Anolis sagrei: one gene and its partner. The protein of the gene in region 1 binds, or shares a complex with, the protein of each later gene. Links are inferred from orthologs where the notes say so. Each region holds a gene or a part of one and is shown on either strand. Other genes may lie near its edges.

Region 1 (12,674 bases):
GAGAGGAGCGGTATACAAATGAAGTAAATAAAATAATAATTATAATAATTATTATTATACAAAAACACAGTACGTCACAGCAAATGAGATCTCTATGCTGGATTTAGTATCACAAAATCACAAGTTGGAACACTTCCCAAGCATCTAGGACTGTGTGATGTATTTTTGAATGATGCGCGCAGATCCAAGTCAGGTGGCCTTTTGCAGTTGACAGATCGTGATTTTGTCTATGTTTATTGTTTCCAAATGCCAGCTGAGATCTTTTGGCACAGCACCCAGTGTACCGATGACCACTGGGACCACCTGGACTGGTTTATGCCAGCATACGATTAGAAGGGATCCCTTGAGGTCATCTACACCAACCCCTCTTGTCTTCCAGAAGTGGCCAGAAAGTCAGTGGAAAGCGGAGACATCAGTTGCACGCTTTGAGGTGCTTTGCAGTTCGATTTTGAGGTCCTGATAACGGTTGAGTTTTTCCTGTTGTTTTTCCTCACTTCGGCTGTCACCTGGAATGGTGACATCAATAATCCAAATTTTTCCTTTTCCACAATCGTGATGACTGGTGTATTGTGTTCCAAACCTTCGTCAGTCTGGATTCGAAAGTCCCACAGTATTTTTCCGTGTTTATTTTCCACTATCTTTGCGGGTTTATGATACCACCAATTCTGTACTGCTGGCAAGTGGTACTTGTGACATAAGTTCCAATGAATCATTTGGGCCACAGAGTTGTGCCTCTGTTTGTAGTCTGTCTCTCAAGATCCTGAACAGGACCGGGCCCAGGACGGAACCCTGCTGATGGTACTCCACTCCTCACTTCTTTCCAAGATGAAGGCAAAGCCTTGGTGAACACCCTCTGGTTTCGTTTACTTAACCAATTACAGATCCACCTAATTGTGGTTTTGCCAGGACCACAATCAAAGCACTCCTTATTATTATTTTCAGGTCAGGAGTGACTTGAGAAACTGCAAGTTGCTTCTGGTGTGAGAGAATTGGTCATCTCCAAGGATGTTGCCCAGGGGATGCCCGGATGTTTTGATATTTTACCATCCTTGTGGGAGGCTTCTCTCATGTCCCCGCATGGGGAGCTGGAGCTGACAGAGGGAGCTCATCCGCACTCTCCCTGGATTCAAACCTCTGACCTGTCAGTCTTCAATCTTGCCAGTACACGGGTTTAACCCACCATCGGGGGCTCCAATACTAACAACAACAACAATATCTCTTTGAGGAGGTTAAACCGCTGAGCTGCTGAACTTATTGTCTGAAAGGTTGGCAGTTCGAATCTGGGGAGTGGGGTGAGCTCCCGCTGTTAGGCCCAGCTTCTGCCAACCTAGCAGTTTGAAAGCATACAAATGTGAGTAGAGCAATAGGTACCACTGATAAAATCATGGCAGCCACATGATCTTGGAGGTTAAACTGCTGAGCTGCTGAACTTACTGTCTGAGAGGTTGGCGGTTCGAATCTGGGGTGGGGTGAGCTCCCGGTGTTAGGCCCAGCTTCTGCCAACCTAGCAGTTTGAAAGCATACAAATGTGAGTAAAGCAATGGGTACTGCTTATACTATCATGCCATCCACATAACCTTGGAGGCATCTATGGACAATGCCAGCTCTTCGGCTTAGGAAGCTGGAGCAGACAGAGGGAGCTCACCCGTGCTCTCCCTGGATTCGAACCTCTGACCTATCGGTCTTCAAGAGTTTAACCCATTGTGCCACTGGGGGCTCCTATCACTCCCAAAAGAGGAGACTCTACTGGACACTCTATCCTTTGCATGGACTTTTTCCAAACTAAGTGTCACCCATCCTATAGTTTCCAGGGCCAAGTGGGGTTTTGAACCCTGCAAGGAGAGTTGCATCCTCTTTTTTTCCCTCCCTTCTTTTTTCCAAAGCTTCCCAAATAGACAGGCTTGGACTCTAATTTCTCTCAAAGTTGGTGCAAAGAAGCAACATTTGGGTCTATTGCACTCTCAGAAAGCAAGGGTGACACTCTCTCAGCCTCCAAGGTAGGAAATTATTTTGGATGTGTGATGCTCCTTCTATATTGATCGCTGTGGTCAACTTATTTTCATGAAGTGATGAGCGGAGTGCCGCAGGGTTCCCCCCTGGGCCCGGTCCTGTTCAACATCTTTATTAATGACTTAGATGAAGGGTTAGAAGGCAGGATCATCAAGTTTGCAGACGACACCAAATTGGGAGGGATAGCCAATACTCCAGAGGACAGGAGCAGAATTCAAAACGATCTTGACAGATTAGAGAGATGATGGGCCAAAACTAACAAAATGAAGTTCAACAGTGACAAATGCAAGATACTCCACTTTGGCAGGAAAGACGAAATGCAAAGAGACAGAATGGGGGATGATGCCTGGCTCGAGAGCAGTACGTGTGAGAAAGATCTCGGAGTCCTCGTGGACAGGAAGTTAAACATGAGCCAACAATGTCATGTGGCGGCAAAAAAAGCCAATGGGATTTTGGCCTGCATCAATAGGAGCCTAGTGTCTAGATCTAGGGAAGTCATGCTCCCCATGCTCTATTCTGCTTTGGTTAGACCACACCTGGAATATTTTGTCCAATTCTGGGCACCACAATTCAAGAGAGATATTGACAAGCTGGAATGTGCCCACAGGAGGGCGACTAAAATGATCAAGGGTCTGGAGAACAAGCCCTATGAGGAGCGGCTTAAAGGGCTGGGCATGTTTAGCCTGAAGAAGAGAAGGCTGAGAGGAGATATGATAGCCATGTATAAATATGTGAGAGGAAGCCACAGGGAGGAGGGAGCAAGCTTGTTTTCTGCTTCCCTGGAGACTAGGACACGGAACAATGGCTTCAAACTACAAGAGAGGAGATTCCATCTGAACACGAGGAAGAACTTCCTGACTGTGAGAGCTGTTCAGCAGTGGAACTCTCTGCCCCGGAGTGTGGTGGAGGCTCCTTCTTTGGAAGCTTTTAAACAGAGGCTGGATGGCCATCTGTCAGGGGTGATTTGAATGCAAAATTCCTGCTTCTTGGCAGAATGGGGTTGGACTGGATGACCCATGAGTTCTCTTCCAACTCTTTGATTCTATGATTCTATGCTGGCAAAACATTACAGGTCCTGGTTTCTTCCATTGCTCAGAATAAAAATCACACCCTCATCCCTTTCAAGAAAGCGAACTTAATTTTATCCATTAATTCCCTATCAGCTTAAATACCGCACAGGGTGGCCTATATTGCATTAATCTCCTCCCTCCCTCCCTCCCTCCGCTGGCTCCTGGGGTCCTCAGGATACCTTAAATAAACCTTGAGGTGTATTTAAAACCACAAGCCCACAGGTACAGTTTAAAACACACTTTTTGAAATACCCCAAACTCTTAAGGAAGGAGCCAGTTGCATTATTTTCTCCATTGACACACACACACACACACACACACACACACAAGGGGTTGAAAGACAAGAGAAAGCCACCCTGTTCTGCGCTTTCCCAATTCTTCTCTTTCACGAGAATAATGAACATATATCAGTCATATTGCATAAATAATATTAATTAAATCATACCTCTAGGAGAGACTCCTTGAGGTCATCTAGACCAACCCCTCCTTTTTTACAAAAGTGGCCAGAAAGTCCATGGAAAGTGGAGACATCGGCTGCACACTTTGATGTGCTTCACCCAGTCTTTTCTACAACTCCCATTATTCCCACACCATGCATACTCTTAGAAGGGACCCCTTGAGGTCATCTAGACTAACCCCTCTTTTTTGCATAAGGGGCCAGAAAGTCCATGGAAAGTGGAGACATTTGCCGCACACTTTGATGTGCTTTGCCCAGTCTTTTCTACAACTCCCATCATTCCCACACCCAGCATACCATTAGAAGGGACCCCTTGAGGTCATCTAGACTAACCCCTCTTTTTTGCACAAGGGGCCAGAAAGTCCATGGAAAGCAGAGTCATTGGTTGCACACTTTGATGTGCTTTGTCCATTATTTTCTACAACTCCCATCATTCCCACTCCCAGCATACCATTAGAAGGGACCTCTTGAGGTCATCTAGACTAACCCCCTTTTTTGCACAAGGGGCCAGAAAGTCCATGGAAAGTGGAGACATCGGCTGCACACTTTGATGGGCTTTGCCCAGTCTTTTCTACAACTTCCATGATTCTCACACCATGCATACCCTTAGAAGGGACCCTTTGAGGTCATCTAGACTAACCCCTCTTTTTTGTACAAGGGGCCAGAAAGTCCATGGAAAGCAGTCATTGGTTGCACACTTGGATGCGCTTTGTCCATTATTTTCTACAACTCCCAGCATACCATTAGAAGGGACCCCTTGAAGTCATTTAGACTAACCCTTCTTTTTTGCACACGTGGCCAGAAAGTCCATGGAAAGTGGAGACATTGACTGCACACTTTGATGTGCTTCGCCCATTCTTTTCTACAACTCCCTTTCTTACACAAGTGGCCGGAAAGTCCGTGGAAAGCAGAGACATCAGCTGCATAGTTTGATGTACTTTGCCCAGTCTCTTCTACAACTCCCATCATTCCCACACCCAGCAAACCATTAGAAGGGACCCCTTGGGGTCATTTAGACCATCACCCTTTTTTGCACAAGTGGCCAGAAAGTCAGTGGAAAGCGGAGACATCAGCTGCATAGTTTGATGTGCTTTGCCCAGTCTTTTCTACAACTCCTATCAGTCCTACACCCAGCATACCATTAGAAGGGACTCCTTAAGGTCATCTAGACTAACCCCTCTTTTTTGCACAAGGGGCCAGAAAGTCAGTGGAAAGTGGAGACATAAGCTGCATGCTTTGAGATGCTTTGCCCAGTCTTTTCTACAACTTCCATCATTCCCACACCCAGCATATGATTAGAAGGGACCCCTTGAGGTCATCTAGACCAACCCCTCTTGTCTTGCACAAGGGGCCAGAAAGTCAGTGGAAAGCGGAGACATAAGCTGCACACTTTGAGGTGCTTTGCTCAGTCTTTTCTACAACTCCCATCATTACCATACACAGCACAACCATGGAGTTATAGATGATGGGACCTGCAGTCCTGCAAACACTCATATTTCCCTGGCACCTCTGAATATCCAAAGGCACCTCAAAACAACAACAACAATAATGTAAGCATAAAATACAAACACAGAAACCTTGACCATTGGGAGAAGGTGGTCAGAGAAAGTAACCAATTCCACTGCAATAATATTATATTTTCTCACTTTTTCACTCTACAATCTCGCTTTCCTTCAGTAATATGAGTAATAATGTTCCACTGTGTTGAAGATATTGCACTCAACTGTGTTTCATATCCAAATGCTCTCCATTTTCCCTCTCTTTCTGGACTTTGGGGCAAGAAGAAGCCACAATGGTACTAAGCTAGGTGGCTTATTCTTTCCAGGATTCCTAAGCCCTTGCGTGTGGGTTGCTAATTGGCTAATTTCCCATCTCTAACATGCTTTGCTATCACCCTCCATACTATTTGCAAGCACCACAAGGTCTTTGTCCTTGGTTTTTGAAACTTTTTTCCTTTCAAACAAAGAGGAGTTGTTATTATTATTATTATTATTATTATTATTATTATTATTATTATTATTATTATTATTTATACTCTGCTTTATCTCTCCTGCAGATGACTCAAAGGGTTTGCCTTGAACCAGACAGAAGGAGCCGTACTTGGCATAGACCATACCTAATAGCATTTAATCACCCCATGTATCAAACTTATCGCTCTCATGTTTACTTATAGATGTATCAATGCTCCGACTTGTGCCAAAAAGTCATGTGTCCCATCGCATTGTATACCACTTTTATTCCTTAGTCTCATCTTCAACGTTCCATGATGCACATTGAAAAACACTGAAAAGTTGCATGCCCAACCCATGCAACCCTTTGCTGTACTCCAATGCTCCCTTGTCTCCAAACTATCTCAAACTTTGATGCCCTAATTCCCCTTTGCCGTACTCCAATGCCCATTTCAAACCACAGAAAGTTCTCTCATTTCCAACCTACTACTTTAAACTCAACTTTGATGCCCTAATCCCAGTTTGCCAGACTCTGATGCCCATTTAAAACCATTTGGTTTGATTATGTATTCCATTGGCCGTATGTGGCCCATCCTTGGATTCACATTTGGCCTATCGATTTTCCCCATTCAACCAAAGTCAAACCCAACCATGTCTTGAAAGTGCGCCCAAATAAAATAGGAATCACTTACCGACTCAGATGTCAAAGAAAGGGGAAATTTGGCTCTGTTTGGGGTGCTCTCTTATGGCACCCCACCATTCAGGGTTTGGCAAGCGCCCGGCATCAAGTGTCAGGCTGCATCCGGGGAGAGAGCGACCAGTGATGGGATTTAGCAAAAGGGGGGTGGCACTGGACTTCAGCAATCCTTGGAGGCTAAGATTAGCTGCCCCACTGAAGCAAAGACTGGCATGGAAATGGACACGGAGGGAGGGAGGGAGGGTGGCCACGCAGCAGAACCTGTCAAAGGTGATTAAGGAAATCCGTCTGGCTTCGTCAAAGAGTCAAAGGGCAGTTGGAACCCGGCAGGCTGTGCGGAAATGTTCCCAAACACAGCCCTATGGGGTTGGTTGAAGGGGTGAGGAGGCCTCGGGGCTGGCTGACCCCTCTCTCTCCCAGGCCAGGAGTTTGGAAAATGTTTTCCTTGGGCCCAACCTAGAACCATAGAACTGTAAAGTTGGAAGAAACCCCAAAGGACATTCATTCCAACCCATAAGATAGATAGATAGATAGATAGATAGATAGATAGATAGATAGATAGTTCGATAGTTCGATAGATAGATCATAGTTGGAAGAGACCCTAAAGGACATTCAGTCCAACCCATAAGAAAGAAAGAGAGAGAGAGAGGATAGATCGTAGTTGGAAGAGGCCCCAAAGGACATTCATTCCAACCCATAAAATAGATAGATAGATAGATAGATAGATGATAGATAGATAGATAGATAGATAGATAGATAGATCATAGTTGGAAGAGACCCTAAAGGACATTCAGTCCAACCCATAAGAAAGAGAGAGAGAGAGAGAGAGAGAGGATAGATCGTAGTTGGAAGAGGCCCCAAAGGACATTAATTCCAACCCATAAAATAGATAGATAAATAGATAGATAGATCATAGTTGGAAGAGACCCTAATAGACATTCAGTTCAACCCATAAGGAAGAAAGAAAGAAAGAAAGAAAGAAAGAAAGGATAGATCGCAGTTGGAAGAGGCCCCAAAGGACATTCATTCCAACCCATAAGAAAAATAGATAGATAGATAGATAGATAGATGAACTGTAGATTTGCAAGAGACCCTAAAGTTCATCCAGTCTAACCCCTGACAGACAAACACAGATAGTGGAATGATGGAAGAGACATCCAGTCCAACCATTAAGATAGATAGATAGATAGATAGATAGATAGATAGATAGATAGATAGATAGGATAAGTGAATCGTGAAGTTGGAATAAACCCCAGAGAACATCCAGTCCAACTCATAAGATAGATGATAGATAGATAGATAGATAGATAGATAGATAGATAGATAGATAGATACTAGATAGATAGATAGATGAATCCTAGAGTTGGAAGAGACCCTAAAGAACATCCAGCTCTGAGTTGAGGTTGGACTGGATGACCTTTGGGGTTTTCATTTCAACTATGTATATCAGGCATGGTCAAACTTTGGCCTTTCAGGTGTTTTGGACTTCAACTCACACAATTCCTAACAGCTGGTAGGTTGCATTAGCCTGGTGTAGATGATACACACTCCATCCAACGGACCTGTGAGTAGCATCTATATAGTCCACCATCCCCACCTCTGTCCACCAGGGGGTGCTTGGACACCTTGCAATGGCTTCCCTAAAGCTGCCCTTGGCCCAAGCCATCATGGTTTGGGATGCTGAGCGCGGAAAAGGGACTGGAGGACGCATTTATTTGGCCTGGGCATCGGGCCCAGCCTGGAACCCTTCCAAGGACAAACACTCATCCTTCACAAAGGCAGATGGGCAACCTGGGAGCCTCGGCCTGGGGCCTGTAAGGTGCCTTCCACCAAGGACTCTCTTTTGGAGAGAAGCAAGAAGAACTGGGGGAATTATTAGGGGTGCATCTATACTGTAAAACAGGGTCCTCAAACTACAGCCTGCGGGCCATATCTGGCCCACCAAGGTTGTTTACCCGGCCCTAAACTTTAGATTTGCCGTTACCACCAGACTGTGAACAGACTGTGACTTGAAGGCACAACAACAACAAACAATAGTCCAACTCCCAACAGTCTGAGGGACTGTTGTGAACTGGGATTTGGAGTATAGGAAATGATGTGCTTAGAAGAGACTGAGCAGAGGACACCTTCTGACCCCAATTCCTTCCCCAAAGACTTTTAACCTTTGGGGTTAGTGGTTGCCGAGTTGGACTGTATTTATTTTGGAGTTTATTTAACCTGGGGAACTCTTGGGATGGTCAACCAATCGGGGCTTGTGGATGCTATAGTCCAAAAACATTTGGAAGGCCCATGAGTCCTTTGAGCAGGCATGGACAAACTTTGGCTCTCCAGGTATTCTGGATTTCAACTTTCACAATTGTGGGAGTTTAGGTTCAAAACACCTTGAGGGCTGAAGTTTGCCCATGCTCCCCTTAAAGGTAAATGAAGCAATCTCTGAAGCGATGGCAGAGATCTTCCTGATCCGAAACATTTGGGGCCAGGAGTGTTTTGCATTTCGGAATCCCTTTATTTGCATGAACTTACATATTGAGATCTCTTGGAGGCGGAACCCAAGTCCAAACACGATGTGCATTTGTGTTTCCCAGACATGTTGCACACCTCACCTGAAGGGAATCTTCATTAATTTTGCAGGTGATACAAAGTTTGTGGACACTGAGCCATTGGGAAGCAAAGGTGCCACTCTCTCAGCCACCCAGCAGGACTGGTTGGGATTTTGGAGTATTTCTGTTAAAGGAGACTCAACCTGTTTACCTGGAAGTATAGTCTATTCTATTCTGTAGACATCTAAGTGAGGTTAGGCTCAAGGTATTTTTGGGAAGCAGGTCAGAGGTAGCAAACCGGCACTAATTAACAAATTACTAATTAACTGGAGGCGGCGACATCCTGTGACGTTCCCTACAGACGTCAACCTGAATTCTGAAAGGGCTTATCATTGCCTGATAAACCATTGGGGATCGTTTTTGGTGATGGGGAATGCATCCGCACTGTAGGGTGAATGCAATCTGCATGCCTCGATGCTATGGGATCCTAGGAGTTCTGGTTTGACAAGGCTTTCCGCCTTCTCTGCCAAAGAGGGTCAATGCCTCACACAACTACAAATCCCATGATTCCATAGCATTCAAGCCAGGGACTACTCAAGTGGGGGTCACACTGCTTTCATGTACCAGCTTAGGTCCCATCTACACTGTTATATAATGCAGTTTAAACTTATATGAGTCTAATGGAGGCATGGCCAAACTTCCTCCCCCCAGCTGTTTTGGACTTCAACTCCCACAATTCCTAACAGCTAGTAGGCTGTTAGGGGTTATGGGAGTTAAAGTCCAATACACCTGGAGGGCCAAAGTTTGCGTATATGTTGGAATAAGACTCTGGAAACCTGGGTTCAAATCTCTCCTTGGCCACAGAAATGCATTGGTTGACTCTAGACGAGTTTCCCTCTCAGCCTCCGAGGAAGGCCAGGCAAATCTCCTTAAAAGAAATCTTGCCAAGAAAAATAAATGATGGGTTGCCTGTGAATCAGAAGGAACTTGGAGCCTCACAGTAGAAACCAATAGATAGGTGATAAATATATATATTGGGGGGGAGGGGATCATAGGGATAGATAGATAAATAGACAGATCAGAGGGATAGATAGATAGATAGATAGATAGATAGATAGATAGATAGGTCAGATAGATAGATAGATAGATACAGATAGATAGATAGATAGATAGATAGATAGATAGGTCAGATAGAGTGAGAGATCATAGAGATAGATTGATCGATCATAGGAATAGATTGATCGCTCTTAGGGATAGAGAGATCGTGAGATCGTAAGGATAGATGGATACAGAGAGAGAGATCAGAGAGATATCATAGGGATAGGTAAATAGATTGATTGATCAATCATAGGAATAGGTAGAAATATAGATAGCATATATGGATGGATGGATGGATGGATGGATGGATGGATGGATGGATGGATGGATGGATTGGTGGATGGATGGATGGATGGATGGATGGATGGATGGATGGATGGATGGATAGATAGATAGATAGATAGATAGATAGATAGATAGACAGGCAGGCAGGCAGGCAGATAGGTGTAATCTATATAAATAAAAATGTAATGTTCGTTTGTGGGATTAACAGAACTAAAAAACCACTGGATGAATTGACACAAAATTTGGACATAATACAATGACTAACCCAAAGAGTGACCATCACTCAAAAAAACAGATTTCATCATTTCGGAGTTGTAGTTGCTGGGATTTATAGTTAACCTATAATCAAAGAGTATTCTGAATTCCACCAACAATGGAATTGAACCAAACGTGACACACAGAACTCCCATGACTAACAGAAAACTCTAGAAGGGGTTGGTGGGCATTGACCTTGAGTTTGGGAGTTGTAGTTCACCTACCTCCAGAGAGCACTGTGGACTCAAGCAATGATGGATCTGGACCAAACTTGGCACGGATACTCCATATGTCCAAATATGAACACAGATGGAGTTTGGGGGAAATAGACCTTGACATTTGGGAGTTGTAGTTACTGAGATTTATGGTTCACCTACAATCAAAGAGCATTCTGAACTCAACCAATGACAGAATTGTGGCAAACTTCTCACACAGAACCCCCATGACCAACAGAAAATACTTAAGGCCATCCAGTCCAACTCCCTTCATCAGTGCAAGAAAACGGCATCAAAGCCCTCCTGACAAAGAGCCATCCAGCCATAGATAGAGATAGATAAGATTCACACACAGAGAGATAGACTATCATAGATTTGAAAGGGACCCCCTAAAGGAGGACAATGATATGTTGCCTGTTCCAGAGTAGGCAAACCAGACAATCTCCACATCAACACTGACAAAGAAACAGCAAGAAATATGGTTTACCCACAAGCATAAAGACATTACATATATTAGAAACCAACACTTTCTCATTACTTTATTTTCCAGATCTGGGCCACAGCAATGCCTGGCAGGGGACCGCTAGTCATAGGAATGGATAGAAAGATCAGAGAGAGAGAGAAAGAGAAAGAGAGAGAGAGAGAGAGAGAGAGAGAGAGAGAGAGAGATCATAGGGATAGATATAGATAGATAGATAGATAGATAGATAGATAGATAGATAGATAGATAGATAGATAGATAGATAGACAGACAGACATCATCATAGGGATGGATAGAAAGATCAGAGAGAGAGAGAGAGAGAGAGAGATCATAGGGATAGATAGAGATAGATAGATAGATAGATAGATAGATAGATAGACAGACAGACAGACAGACAGACATCATCATAGCGATGGATAGAAAGATCAGAGAGAGAGAGAGAGAGAGAGATCATTGAGATAGGTAGATTGATTGATCAATCGATCAACTGATAGGCAGGCAGGCAGACAGCTGATGAGGAGCCAGTGTGGTGTTATGATTTGATTGTTGGACTAAAATTCTGTGAGACCAGGGTTCAAATCCTTGAAAACCCACAGGGAAACCTTAGGCAAGTCACACTTTCTCGGCCTCCGAGGAGAGCAAAGAGGCCAAAACAACACTATTGCAATCTGACCCTGAAAGCCATTTCTGAGATGCTCTCCTTTCGTTTACTCTTTGACCGCTGGCCTTTTGGCTCCCTTTCCGGCTCCCAGACACGTTCGACTTTGATCCAAGCAGCTCCCTTCTCTCGGGATCTTCTTCATCCTTTCGGAAATGTTGCAACATCCACGCACTTATGGGGGCCGGAGTTGTTTGCTTTGGCTGGGGCCTGGAGGGAGAAGACGCAAAGAAGGATCAGGTGGAGAGGAAGTGAGAATGCTCTTCCAGGACCAGAAATATATATTTGTGTGTGTGTTTGGTGTTGATAACATATCTACATCTATATATGTTTTGCAGATGCTCCATTATTGTGTGATAGGCAAAGCTGCAGCAGGCTCTTATCAGACATGAAAAGAGGCAGAAGCAACTTCCAAAAGAAGTAAATGGTATTGTATATTATTGGCTGCTTTTGCATTCCCGGAATCGCTTTGGATGCCCCTTTTCTTGGGATGCCTAAATTGTATTTATCCAAAATTCAGTTCAAAGGATGGAATTCACTTACTTAAGGAGAATCCGGGGAGCAGAGTGACCTCCCGCTGCTAGCCCCAGCTTCTGCCAACCTAGCAGTTCGAAAACATGCAAATGTGACTAGATCAATAGGTACTGCTCCGGCGGGAAGGTAACGGCATGCCATGCAGTCATGCCAACCACATGACCTTGGTGGTGTCTGCGGACAACGCCAGCTCTTTGGCTTAAAAATGGAGATGACCACCATCCTCCAGAGTTGGACACAACTGGAGTTAATGTCAGGGGAAAATCTTTACCTAAGAAGATGAGAGAAGAAAGCTTTAAATTAAGCTTTCTTGCATCCAGCTAGATTGAGTATGTAAAGCAGAGTGGAGGGTGAGGTCTGGCACCATCAGGACAGGAAAGAGGAGGCTATGGATGCATCTATATTGCAGAATGAATGCAGCTTGG
Region 2 (13,273 bases), about 14 Mb from region 1:
GGGTGGGGTATAAAAATAGTAAGTAAATAAATAGGATTTTATGATGGTAGACCTATTGAGGTCAATGAAATTTCAGTTAATCATGGCCAGTTTAACTTGGATCAATTTCAGTGGGTCTGCACTATGTATTATTAAGCTCAGACCCAACCCACTGTACGCTGAATCCCACTTCTTTTATTGTAGGGCAGCGTAATCTAAACCAGGCCTGTCTCACTTGCAGAGTTTGCCAGGGATCTATGGAAGCGACCAAGTAAATATTTTGGACGTAGAAGCTTCCCAGGTCTAATTCCAAGCTTTTCCAATTAAAGTCAGACAGAAAGTGCTGAGAATAATCTCTGTGCCTGAGACTTTGCCAAGGAAGGCAGATTTGAAAAGCAATCTGAGTGGGTATAAGGCACGTCAAGCGTGTACTTTATGTGTTTATGTGAGAATCTGTGTGAATGTGAGCGGGTGATAATTTGTGTTTGTGCATGAAATGTATGTTTGCAACTGAAGGAGCGAGATGATACATCTACACGGTAGAATGAAAGCAGTTTGACACCTTACTTACTTACTTACTTACTTACTTAAACGATCCCTCGTAGCCCGAGGATGATGGTCCTCCAAGTGTAGTGTCTTGGCGGTGAGTCCATAGGTGGCTGTGGAGCCCTATTCTTGATCAGCATGTTTTCCTGCATTGAGGACATCGGTTGCCAGGTGGAAGGCGGTCCTAGTCAGGGTTGGCTTGATGTGCCTTCCTCTTGGCACGTTTCTACCTCCATTCGTGCCTCTTCAAAATCTGCAGCACTGCTGGTCACAGCTGAGCTCCAGTTGGAGCACTCAAGGGCCAGGGCTTCCCAGTTCTCGGTGTCTATGCCACAGTTTTTAACATTGGCTTTAAACCCATCTTGAAATCTCTTTTCCTGTCCACCAACATTAAGTTTCCCTTTCTTGAGTTGGGAGTCTAGTGGCTGCTTTGAGAGATGGTGATCAGCATTCGGACAACATGGCCAGTTGTCTCCATTCGTGCCTCTTCGAAAGCTGTGAGAGCTGTTCAGCAGTGGAACTCTCTGCCCTGGAGTGTGGTAGAGGCTCCTTCTTTGGAAGCTTTTAAAGTGGAGTTGATGGCACAGGAGCCTCACTTGTGGTCTTTGCTTCTTCCAGCACGCCGACATTTGTCCGCCTCTCTTCCCAAGAGATTTGCATGAGATGTATGTTTGCAATTATGTATGTTTTTGCAGATTTATGTTTGCAATTATATATGTTTGTGCATGAGATGGATGTTTGCAATTGTGTATGTTTGGCCATGAAATGCATGTTTGCAGTTATGTATGTTTGTGCATGAGATGTATGTTGGTAATTATGCATGTTTGACCATGAGATGTATGTTTGCAATTATGTATGTTTGTGCATGAGATGTATGTTTGCAGTTATGTATGTTTGTGCATGAGATGTATGTTTTCAATTATGTATGTTTGACCATGAGATGTATGTTTGCAGTTATGTATGTTTGTGCATGAGATGTATGTTTGCAATTATGTATTGTTTATCCATGAGATGTATGTTTGCAATTATATATGCTTGGGCAAGAGGTATTTATTTATTTATTTATTTAAAACATTTATATTCTGCCCTTCTTACCCCAAAGGGGACTCAGAGCAGAGCACAGCATATATACGGTAAACATTCAGTGCTGGGACAAGAATTCATATACGCGTACATAAACATTAAAAACATTTATCTCAATATTAAAATACACCATTTAAAACTGTCCTGGTCATCAGCGTCAAATCTAACTGGCCTGGTAATCTTTCCTATTGCTGCTTTATTGCCTTGTCCCGAAAGCTTGGTCTTACAGCCAAGTTTTTACCATCCTTCTGAAGGACAGGAGGGAGGGGGCCGATCTGATCTCACCAGGAAGGGAGTTCCACAGCTGAGGGGCATTCACTGAGAAGGCCCTGTGTCTCGTCCCTGCCAATTGCACCTGTGACAATGGCGGGATGGAAAGCAGAGCCTTCCCAGAGGATCTTAATCTCCACGATGTTTCATAGGGGGAGATACGTTCAGACAGGTAAATTGGGCCGGGGCCATTTAGGGCTTTGAATTGTGCCCGGTAGCAAACTGGTAGCCCGTGGAGCTGGCGTAACATGGGAGATGTATGTTTGCGATTGAAGGAGAGAGATAATGCATCTACACGGTAGAATGAAAGAGGTTTGGCACCATTTTAACTGCCAGGGCTCAAGGATATGGAATCCTGGAAGTTCTAGTCTTGCAATCCCTTTAGCCTATTCTGCCAAAGAGTGCTGATGCCTTTCCAAACTACAAGTCTCAGGATTCCCATAGCCTTGAGTCAGAGCAGTTCAAGTGTTGCCAAACTGCATTCATTCTGCTATGTAGATGCACCCTTGGAAGCAAAGGATCCAACATCCAAGAATATGTTATCATGGGTTGCGGGTTGCATTGAGCTGTGGTAATGAACGTGTGGTAATGAAACTGCACTCATTCTGCAGTCTAGATGCATCCAGATAGAGCAGGCCTGGGCAAACTTGGGCCCTCCAGGTGTTTTGGACTTCAACTCCCACAATTCCTAACAGCCTCAGGCCCTTTCCTTTTCTCCCTCAGCCGCTTAAGAGATCAGGTCAGGAATTGGTGTCTTTGTTCCTTTTCATGTGTTTTGCTTAATCCGAAACACAGGAAGAGATATGATATATATGAGTACTTCTCCTTATCTAGAATCAGAGTTCCTTTTTCTCCTTCTCAACTCACAACAAAGCCACAAGCGTTTGGATAGGTGTCAGGGTGCTTCCTTTTGCTTGTTTGTTTTGACCATTTGTGCCACAAGTGAGAGGGAGCTTATAAAGTGGGACATATGCGGCCACAAAAAAACTAATGGGATTTTGGCCTGCATCAATAGGAGTCTAGTGTCTAGATCCAGGGAAGTCATGCGACCCCTCTTTTCTGCCTTGGTCAGACCACACCTGGAATACTGTGTCCAACTCTGGGCACCCCAGCTGAAGAGAGATATTGACAAGCTGGAATGTGTCCAGAGGACAGCGACTAAAATGATCAAGGGTCTGGAGAACAAGCCCTATGAGGAGCAGCTTAAAGAGCTGGGTATGTTTAGCCTGAAGAAGAGCAGGCTGAGAGGAGACATGATGGAACATGTGGAACAATGGCTTCAAACTACAAGAAAGGAGATTCCATCTGAACATGAGGAAGAATTTCCTAGCTGTGAGAGCTGTTCAGCAGTGGAACTCTCTGCCCCGGAGTGTAGTAGAGGCTCCTTCTTTGGAAGCTTTTAAACAGAGGCTGGATGGCCATCTGTTGGGGTAGCTTTGAATGCAATTTTCCTGCTTCTTGGAAGGGGGTTGGACTGGATGGCCCATGAGGTCTCTTCCAACTCTATGATTCTATGTTTCTATATCACTCCGGCTTCCCTGTTGTGTTGGACTACAACTCTCAACATCCCCGACCAGGATGGCATCAGGTTGGGGAAGAGAGGGACCTTCCACGCAGGATACTTTTGCCACCTACCTGAACACATGGAGTCGAGGTGCAGCGGTGATCCCTCCCCTCCACAAACATACACACCAACTGAATCCTGACACTAATGCTTTTGACACTAATGCTGCTTTACGAACAGATCTGGATGGACAAAGCGGATTGAGCATATGGCCAAGGGCAGCAAGGGACAGTCAAATTAGCGGTGGCCCAATGCAATTAGCTACCAGTAGGTGAACCTACGTAAGAGCCTCAGAGAGATAGTGCTACCTATGGGTTAGAGCAGAGGAGGCTGGGAACTCAGATACCGGGGTCTTTTGAGGAGGCGAATTTGATCTAAAGAGATGGAGAAATCAATGAAAGCCAGTCTGAGACAAGGCTTTGGTTTGCAGTCTTTAATGATATCTACTAGAGAAAGCTGATGCCTCACCAAACTACAGTTGCTATGATTCCATAGTATTGAACCACGGCAGTTGAAGTGGTTTAAAACTGCATTAATTCCACAATGTAGATGCATCCCTAGGCAGGTAAAAGGAAACGCTACCCAGGATTATCACTGGTCAACACGCATTTTGGTGTCTCAAATATTAGCCCAGTTTGTGTGTATCTTACCTGCTGATTCCAAAAATGGCACCTGTTTCTCCCCATCAGCTCTAATTCTTGAGATACAGAACATATAGTGGCACAATGTAAAATAAACAACATGTAGTTCACATTTGATCAGCCCACACACTGCCTTGCCAGACAAAGAAAATATGCCCACACAGATGAACACTAAAGAACAAGTAGTTTACTCTTCGTAAATTTAGAACAACAAATGTACAATGTGATCAGTTGCATCAACTCACATAATGTCCTTTTATGAGAGATTTAAAAATTGTATTTCTTTGGCCGTATGGATAAAATCTTTCTGCAGCCCATAAAGCGAGAGCGCACTCCAAACTCTATCTCTCCTTGCTTCTCTCTGAGCACTTGCATAGCTCAAGCCTGAACAAAAATGTAACAGTAACCAAAAGTCCCAGGCTCAGCCTGCTCCCCAGGCATTGTCCGACCAATCAGCTTAATGAATCTTATTTTACAGTTGACACACACACAGTGACTGATTCCTTGCATGCTCCAACACATATGACCTATTCCTATCATCATCTACTTGTCCATAGAAAATCATGATAACCATATCTAGGAAACTAAAGCTGTTGTGGTCTATTTAATTGAATTTTCTGAATCAGAGCCCCAAATAATCCAAGGAACAGGCCTAAAAAACCAACAGTTCGCTTTTGCCTGAGTCTATATTCTCACCGCCTCTGCTGAGTTGCAAACTACTTTGACGAGATGAACTTAAGTTTGCATCAATTAAACTAGCAGAGGATGAAGGTGGAAATTAGGAAGAACAAAAAGATTTTTTGTTGTTTATTCATTCAGTCGCTTTTGACTCTTCCTGACCGCATGGACCAGCCCATGGCAGAGCTCCCTGTCGGCCATGGCTACCCACAGTTCCTTCAAGGTCAAGCCAGTCACTTCAAGGATACCATCCATCCATCTTGCCTTTGGTCAGCCCCTCTTCCTTTTCTCTTCCCTTTTCCCCAGCATCACTCTCTTCTCCAAGCTTTCCTGTGTTCTCATTATGTGGCCAAAGTATTTCATCTTTGCCTCCAACATCCTTCCCTCCAGTGAGCAGCCAGGCATTATTTCCTGGAGTATGCTGTGTTCTGCATACCAGTTGAATAGGTTGGGTGAGTACCCTGCCATACTCCTTTCCCAATCTTGAACCAGTCTGTTGTTCCATGGTCAGTTCTTACTGTTGCTACTTGGTCATTATACAGATTCCTCAGGAGACAGACAAGGTGGCTTAGTATCCCCATACCACCAAGAATTTGCCACAATTTATTATGATCCACATAGTGAAAGGCTTTAGAATAGTAAATAAAACATAAATAGATGTCTTTCTCCATTATCCAGCGGATGTTGGCAATTTGATCTCTCATTCCCCTGCCTTTTCTAAACCCAGCTTGTACATCTGGCAACTCTCGCTCCATATATTGCTGGAGTCTGCCTTGCAGGATCTTGAACATTACCTTACTACAATCGTTTTCAACCTTCCTAATGCTGTGACTCCTTAATACAGTTCCTCATGTTGTGGTGACTCACAACCATACAATTATTTTCATTGCTACTTCATAACTTTAACTTTGCTACTGTTATGAATCGTAATGTAAATATCTGATATGCAGCATGTATTTTCATTCACTGGACCAAATTTGGCACAAATATCCAATACGCCCAAATTTGAATACTGGTGGGGTTGGGGGGCATTGATTTTGTCATTTGGGAGTTGTAGTTGCTGTGATTTATAGTTCACCTACAATCAAAGAGCATTCTGAACTCAACCAGCAATGGAATTGAACCAAACTTGGCACACAGAACTCCCATGACCAACAAAAAATACTGGAAGGGTTTGGTGGGCATTGACCTTGAGTTTTGGAGTTGTAGTTCATCTACATCCAGAGAGCACTGCGGACTCAAACAATGATGGATTTGGACCAAACTTGGCACAAATACTCAATATGCCCAAATGTGAACACTGTTGGAGTTTGGGGAAAATAGACCTTGACATTTGGGAGCTGTTGTTGCTGGGATTTATACTTAACCTACAATCAAAGAGCATTCTGAACCCCACCAGCAATATAATTGGCCCAAATTTCCCACTCAGAACCCCCATGACCAACAGAAAATACTGTGCTTTCTGATGGTTTTTGGTGACCCCTCTGACACCCTGAAAAAAGTGAAGAAAACAGAGTAGCTGAAAAAAGTGAGACAACAGAGGACGCATCATGACTGCCAAATTGGGGCAGTTGGGAGGTATGGCAGCCATGCCCATTAACAAAATTGAAGTATTATAACTGTGAAAGGGCCCTCAGAATTGGATTCAGCTCATAATTCTGAGTAAGCATGCACAGGATTTCACTGTTAAAGCACAATACCACACGCACCCACTGTAATCAGGAGAAGAAAGAGAGCCAGCCAGATGGCGTTTTTTTTTTTTTTCATAATCTCAGATTAAATCCACCTTCTTGTTATGATCCCTTCTTTATATGTTTTTAATTATATGTAAAAGCAATCTTTCTTTTCTCCTTATTGCAAGACTTGGACGGTGCTGAACAGACTGCGCTCTGGCACCACGAAATGCAGAGCCAGCCTTAAGGAATGGGGCTACAAAGTGGAGTCTGCAACATGTGGAGGAGAGCAAACCAAGAACCACTTACTACAATGCACTTTGAGCCTTGCCACATGCACAATAGAGGACCTTCTTACAGTGACACCATAGGCACTCAAAGTGTCCAGCTTCTGGTCAAAGGAAATTTAGTATAATGTTAAGTTTTTAACTTTGTTTGTGGTTTTTCTATACATTATAACTCAATTTGCTTCTGACACGATAAATAAATAAAATGGCAAGACTTCCAATTCAGGCCTAAATTTGGAGCAAGTATGTACAGTGTTGCACATCTCACCTTCCCATTGCCATTACTAGGGAAAAAAGGATGAGCCAGTGAGATGAGAATATTTACAAGCTCAGGTTAAACCCACCTGCTCCCATTTGCAGTTCCTTCCTTACTACGCTCACGGATGCAATGGGAGGAGTCTCTCTTGTCTTTTCCATATAAGGATACCTTCTTTGAATAATTAATGATATGCATCCAATGTATTTAAGGCAAAGGAGCACAAAGGCAGAGGCAAACTTTCCATGTGAGCATTGAACGCACATGGCTTCTAAGGAAGGAAGTTTCTTGATTTTATGAGGCATGGACCACCACAAGTAGTATCTGAGAAGCAGAATCCATATGCTGATTATTGTTTAGGTCAGGCATGGGCAAACTTTGGTCCTCCAGATGTTTTGGACTTCAACTCGCTTAAGCGGCTGGGGGGGGGGGGGAAGGAAGGGTCCTGAGGCTGTTGGGAATTGTGGGAGTTGACGTCCAAAACATCTGGAGGGCCAAAGTTTGCCCATGCCTGGTTTAGGTCCTCTTGTGATGAAGTAGGGTTGTAGTTGTTTAGTTTCACTTAGCCAAACCCTTTGAATCAGTTGTTGACTGGCAGAAGGTCTAAATCCTATTGTTTCCAATAAAGGTTACTTTCAGGTATCGTTACATAGTACTGCAACTTTTCGTCTCTCCTATGACACTTGGTGGCACTTGGAAAAGTAGTTGATTTTGGCTATTTTGTCATGATCTGCATGTCTTATCAGCTTTTTTCATGTGGTTGTTTATTACCAGAAGTGCTATTAATCTACAGGGTGCTTTTCTGCTTAAGGTAGACCAATTCCTGGGGTCAGAGAGCAATAGCTTTAGCTTCCACTGTGTTGCCATCTGTCCACTCGTCTCTACATATGCCATCTCCTCATAGGGTGATCGGCATGTTTTCATTCTTTTCAATAGATATTTTGCTCTCCCCACCCACTCACCCCTTGCCCAGCCACTTTGAGGGCTGGCACATGTTGAGGAACCGTGCCCAACGTTAAGGGAAGAGAGGCCAGGAGGGCAACAAGGAAGGAGGGAGCGAGGAAGGCCCGCAAAGCCCAAATCCGATTTCCCTGGCGTTAAAGAGCTTGGAGCAAATGTGATCAGCGCAACCTAAAATAGCCCCCTCTCTCAATCTCTCTCCCTTTGTGTGTACAATATGTGTGTGCACACATGCAGACTCATCATGGCCACCAGGTGTAGCAAAGTGAGGACTCCAGGGTCCCGACTCCACCCACATCCATCCCAGGGAGTCTATATAAGAAGGTGACCTGGGCACAAGGCCTTCCACTGGCTAGGTTGAAACAAGGCAGGAAGGACAAGCCAGGAACTGTTGGTGAAGCGGCGTGGGGTGCGTGAGCATACACCCAAACCATGGGCAATAGCAAGAGCGGAGCTCTGTCCAAAGAGATCCTGGAAGATCTGAAGCTGAACACCAAGTATTCGGAAGACGAGCTGTGCAAATGGTATGAGAGCTTCCAGAAGCAGTGTCCTGATGGGCGCATCAGCCGGGCTGAGTTTGAAAAGATCTACGGCAACTTCTTCCCCAACTCTGATCCCAAGGTCTATGCCCGGCATGTCTTCCGAAGCTTTGACACCAACGACGATGGGACCCTAGACTTCCGGGAGTACATCATTGCACTCCATCTCACCTCCACCGGCAAGACCAACCTCAAGCTGGAATGGGCTTTCTCACTCTTTGATGTGGATCGCAATGGAGAGATCAGCAAACATGAGGTTCTTGAGATCGTTGCAGTAAGTGAAGGGGATGTGTGGGGCGGTGAGAGGGACAGGGAGCCATGGGGAAAGGGTCACGGGAAAGATCCAAGTTGAGAGCTTCCCCACAACAGTGTGCTGTGGATTAAATTACATTTATGAGGCTAACTGTTGTGGATCTTTTGCACAGGACTGTTTGGAGGATACTTACTTACTTACGCGATCCCTCGTAGCCTGAGGATGATGGTCCTCCAAGTCTGGTGTCTTGGCGGATAACTCACTGAAGAAGCCACTGAACTGTTGAGTTGTTTAATGTTTTTCTCTGGGTAGTAGTTGATTTGGGGTGCATATCCCTTTACATCAGGTCTTCTTACAGCTGGAATGGCAATATATTCAACCCAAGTCCATTTCAGTAGATGGAAACCAGTGAAAGTGGCTAGCTCATATCCAGATCTCTCAAAGAGACATATAGTCCCATTCATGGAGCTGCATCACAAGCTTGCTTATGCTTGAAGCAAATTCAGTCCTACCAACCATTGTTCATTCTCCTATGGGACAGAAAATTATAATCCTCTTGGTTAGTCTTAACTAGAGTGTCTTACTCTACAGGTAAATCCCATTGACAATAGGTTACCAACTATAGTCACATGTTGGAGCCATACTTATTAAAGGGGAAGGACGGAAGGGGCAAGAACTGGACACGTGACTCCCCCTCAGTCCACCTGGACGTGATGGGATGACAAGGGATTACCTTGGTCAAAGGCTTTGTCTTTTGCCCAATGGAATTAGCCTTGGCCTATGGGGGGGAAATCCTGTTACGTCTATTTAACGAGATGAACGGGATTGACAGAGCAGTAAACAGCTCTAAATCCATGGCTAATTATATCTCACTGGCCTCAACTGTCCCCAGCAAGAAGCAAATGCCCATGTTTTATGCAGGATAGGTATTGCTATCTTTCTGAAAGAGTATATTCTAAAAGATCCAAATCTGTACGGCTCTATGCTACTAATTTAAACTGGTTTGAAACCACACTCAAAGATACTTGGAAATTCTAATATTGTATGAGCTTTTTAACAATATTTAAAGAGTCACATGGGCATACTTCATAGTCTATCATTACTTAGGACTTGAAACGATTGGTTCAGTTTACATGGCCTATTTGACAACACACCTTCATTGACAAAATTTAGGCTGTTGCTATTCCAAATGCTCTGAAATTCCTTCCCAGGAAGACTTGATATATCCAACAGTGACTCAAAACATGGAAAAGGACAGCATTCGGTTGGAAGGTGTCTTCGGTAGCCACATAAACTTGGCCTTACTTGCCTCTTTGTGGATTTAACAGAGCTCTGTGTACATGTCCAAAAAATCCTTGCCGTTGCTGACCTTCCTCCACTTTTCTAGCTTCTAGACTCTTTCCCCCTCCCCATGTAAGAGAAGATAGAGCAATCTGAGATTAAAGTTGGATTAGGTGGGATTAAATCCCTGACCCACTCCGTGCAATATTCGCCTTGCTTCAACTGTATCTTCAGGGGAATAACTTCCTCTTCTCTGACCTTGAAAAGATGGGATCATAAACAGACCATTCCCACGTAGGCCAAGATTCTGCACCGATAGTGCAGTTAAAGTGGGATCAGAGTGCCGTAATTGTGTAGTAGAGAACGTGAAAGAAGTCTCCTTTTGCAACCAGAGGTAGTAAATTGTTTTTGGTATTGAGGGTGAATTTATCTTTAGTCTGAGTGAAGCAATTGCAGGAGATGAGTGCCACGAAAGAGCAGTTGTTTACTACTTCTTATGTGAGTTTATTTATCTGCAGGGTGAGAGGATCTTGTGGGATTTTCTGCTTCAGGGCCCAAAAAGTATAGCTTAGCTATTCCTGTAAAATGAAACAAGAGGATGATTGGAAACTTAGGGAGGTACATTGAGGAATCACAGCCAGTGTCTCACCAAAATATAAGTTTTCGAGTATGATGAAACCATGGAAGCTAAAGTGGAATAACGCACATGTGCACACGCACATGCGCACACACATGTAACTGCAGGACTGATGCTGCAGTTTCGTTTATCCATGTCCAATATCTTAGCTTTTCCTGTAAAATGAAACAAGGGGATGATTGGGAACTTAGGGAGGTTCACAGCTAGTGTCTCACCAAAATACACGTTTTTGGGTATGATGGAACCATGGAAGCTAAAGTGGAATAATGTTATAATTATGTACATTAAGACACAGACACACACCTGTAACCATGTCCAACAAAATAGGTCCTCTCTAGGTATTTTCTAGGTCCTCCAGCACAACTTAATTGTACTCTTGGGCCAGAAGTCCTTCATTTCAATGGGATTCGCTATTACCTGCAGTTTCGCCTGTCCACACAAAGTCTGGGAATGTATTCCCCGCAGATACAGGGTTGATACTGTTGTGTGAATAGGTTCTCGCTACACTAGGCATGGGCAAACTTCAGCCCTTCAGATGTTTTGGACTTCAATTCCCACAATTCCTAACAGCCTCAGGCCCCTTCCTTTTCCCCCTCAGCCGCTTAAGCGGCTGAGGGGGAAAAGGAAAGGGCCTGAGGCTGTTAGGAATCGTGGGAGTTGAAGTCCAAAACAGCTGGAGGACCAAAGTTTGCTCACGCTTGCTTGACACAAAACTGGGAAGCGCTCACTTTTTAAATCCAAATTGGGCAATAAAAATCTGCTCAGGATTGTGGACTACCTGTTTTAAAATACCACGTTCCTATTGATACACATCAGAGATGGTTCCTTGGGCCTTTAAGGAAAGGATTATTATGTACAACCAGTGGTGACAGCATTAGACCTGGGTTAATCCCTTAGGTTTAGCATTGGTCTCCGTGTGTGACTTAAGCTTTGATGCACCGAAAACCGGAGAAAGGTCCTGTACCTTTAATGGGGTTTCTGAAAGCTGGCATCCAACAATACATGGGAATTAGTGTTTCTCTAGTCCGCGAATGTTTGTGCCACAATATACTATTTGTTTTCAAATTGTCACCAAACTCTTCTGTTGTGCCTGTCGCAACTGAGCACCTTGGCATTGCCCATCAGCAGCAGAGCAAAGGGTTTTTGGAAGCAATTGGCACACCAAAAGCAAAAGATGGGGAAAGAACACAAGGTTTTACACCAGGCATAGGCAAACTTCAGCCCTCCAGGTGTTTTGGACTTCAACTCCCACAATTCCTAACAGCCTACCGGCTGTTAGGAATTGTGGGAGTTGAAGTCCAAAACACCTGGAGGGCCGAAGTTTGCCCAGTTTTGAGCCTTAACAAAACAAGGCAAATTCTTCCACAGATTTTCAAACTCTGCATAGTGACAAGTTTGTGTGTCAGCTTCAGTGTGTAGGTGTGTCACTCGAAGATAATTAGAGATCTCTGAGTCTATGTGAAATATATTATCGAAGGCTTTCATGGCCGGAATCACTGGGTTGCTGTAAGTTTTTCGGGCTGTATGGCCATGTTCCAGAAGCATTCTCTCCTGAGGAGAGAATGCTTCTGGAACATGGCCATACAGCCCGAAAAACTTACAGCAGCCCTATTGTGAAATAAGCAATACATTAAAGATTTTCCAAACTATCAATGAAAGTTTTCATGAGATAAGTTGTGTCCCCATACATTTCATTATTACCATTTATAAGGGGCTGGTTTATCTTCCAGTTTGCTAGTAAAACTGAATTACTGTGTCGCGAAATGACGCGTATCTGAAAACATTAAATGTATGGAAATCTTTGCACTAGAGAAGCTTGTTTTGGTTAAGGACAACTTATAGGAGATTCAAATGCGCCCGACATACTACTAAGTTGATATATCCCGCATTTCAGCCGACCAAAATAGGAGCTCCCAGTGGCGCAATGGGTTGAACCCTTGTGCCGGTAGGACTGAAGACTGATGGGTCAGAGATTCCAATCCGGGGAGATCACGGATGAGCTCCCTCTGTCAGCTCCAGCTCCCCATGTGGGGACATGAGAGAAGCCTCCCACAAGGATGGTAAAACATCAAACATCTGGGCGTCCCCCGGGCAACGTCCTTGCAGACAGCCAATTCTCTCACACCAGAAGCGACTTGCAGTTTCTCAAGTCGCTCCTGACACACACGAAAAAAGCCGAATAAAATCCCTTCGACACAGCACACCAAATCACACTTCCCTGTTTAATAACATTGTGCTGTTCAGTACGAGGAAACCTATAAGGTAAGTCAGTAATAATTCCATTAAAAAATAATTCACAACTGCTCAGTGTTGTACATTGATTTAACATTCGTGCCTGTATTCGATACTCAACGTGTTATCCATTGAATCCTATTATATGGTACTTTCTGCAGATGGGATCTTTATGTGCAAAACAATTTGCCCTGTATGTTTATATATCAAATATATACTTTGTCTCCTTGTTTTGCCTACGAGTGGGGAAATATTGTGAATTGTATGTGTGATGCTGAACTGCTGGATGTCCCCCTTCAGCAAGATTTCAGCACATTTCCAATTGCTCTATTAAAAAGGCATAAAGACCTGGAATTCAGTATAGGATTTGTGTTTGCGGGAAACAGAATTGAGC

The links.
Region 2: the proteins of GRK1 (region 1) and RCVRN are in contact, whole or in part, in an NMR structure (PDB 2I94), measured with the Bos taurus proteins. The link is inferred for Anolis sagrei from reciprocal best matches to the Homo sapiens genes GRK1 and RCVRN. Residues at the interface, in NP_776598.1 of Bos taurus: Phe3, Gly4, Leu6, Glu7, Val9, Val10, Ala11, Asn12, Ser13, Ala14, Phe15, Ile16; in NP_776590.1 of Bos taurus: Lys22, Trp31, Ser34, Phe35, Glu38, Cys39, Phe49, Ile52, Tyr53, Lys55, Phe56, Phe57, Tyr86, Leu90, Thr93, Ser94, Phe188, Glu189.

What each region holds. Positions count from the first base shown.
Region 1 is NC_090026.1:5,172,149-5,184,822, reverse strand, and holds the start of GRK1 (rhodopsin kinase GRK1), read right to left. Parts: upstream 6,390-12,674; 5' UTR 6,179-6,389; intron 1-6,178. UniProt on the Homo sapiens protein: Retina-specific kinase involved in the signal turnoff via phosphorylation of rhodopsin (RHO), the G protein- coupled receptor that initiates the phototransduction cascade.
Region 2 is NC_090026.1:18,713,511-18,726,783, forward strand, and holds the start of RCVRN (recoverin), read left to right. Parts: upstream 1-8,268; 5' UTR 8,269-8,369; coding exon 8,370-8,750; intron 8,751-13,273. UniProt on the Homo sapiens protein: Acts as a calcium sensor and regulates phototransduction of cone and rod photoreceptor cells. Modulates light sensitivity of cone photoreceptor in dark and dim conditions.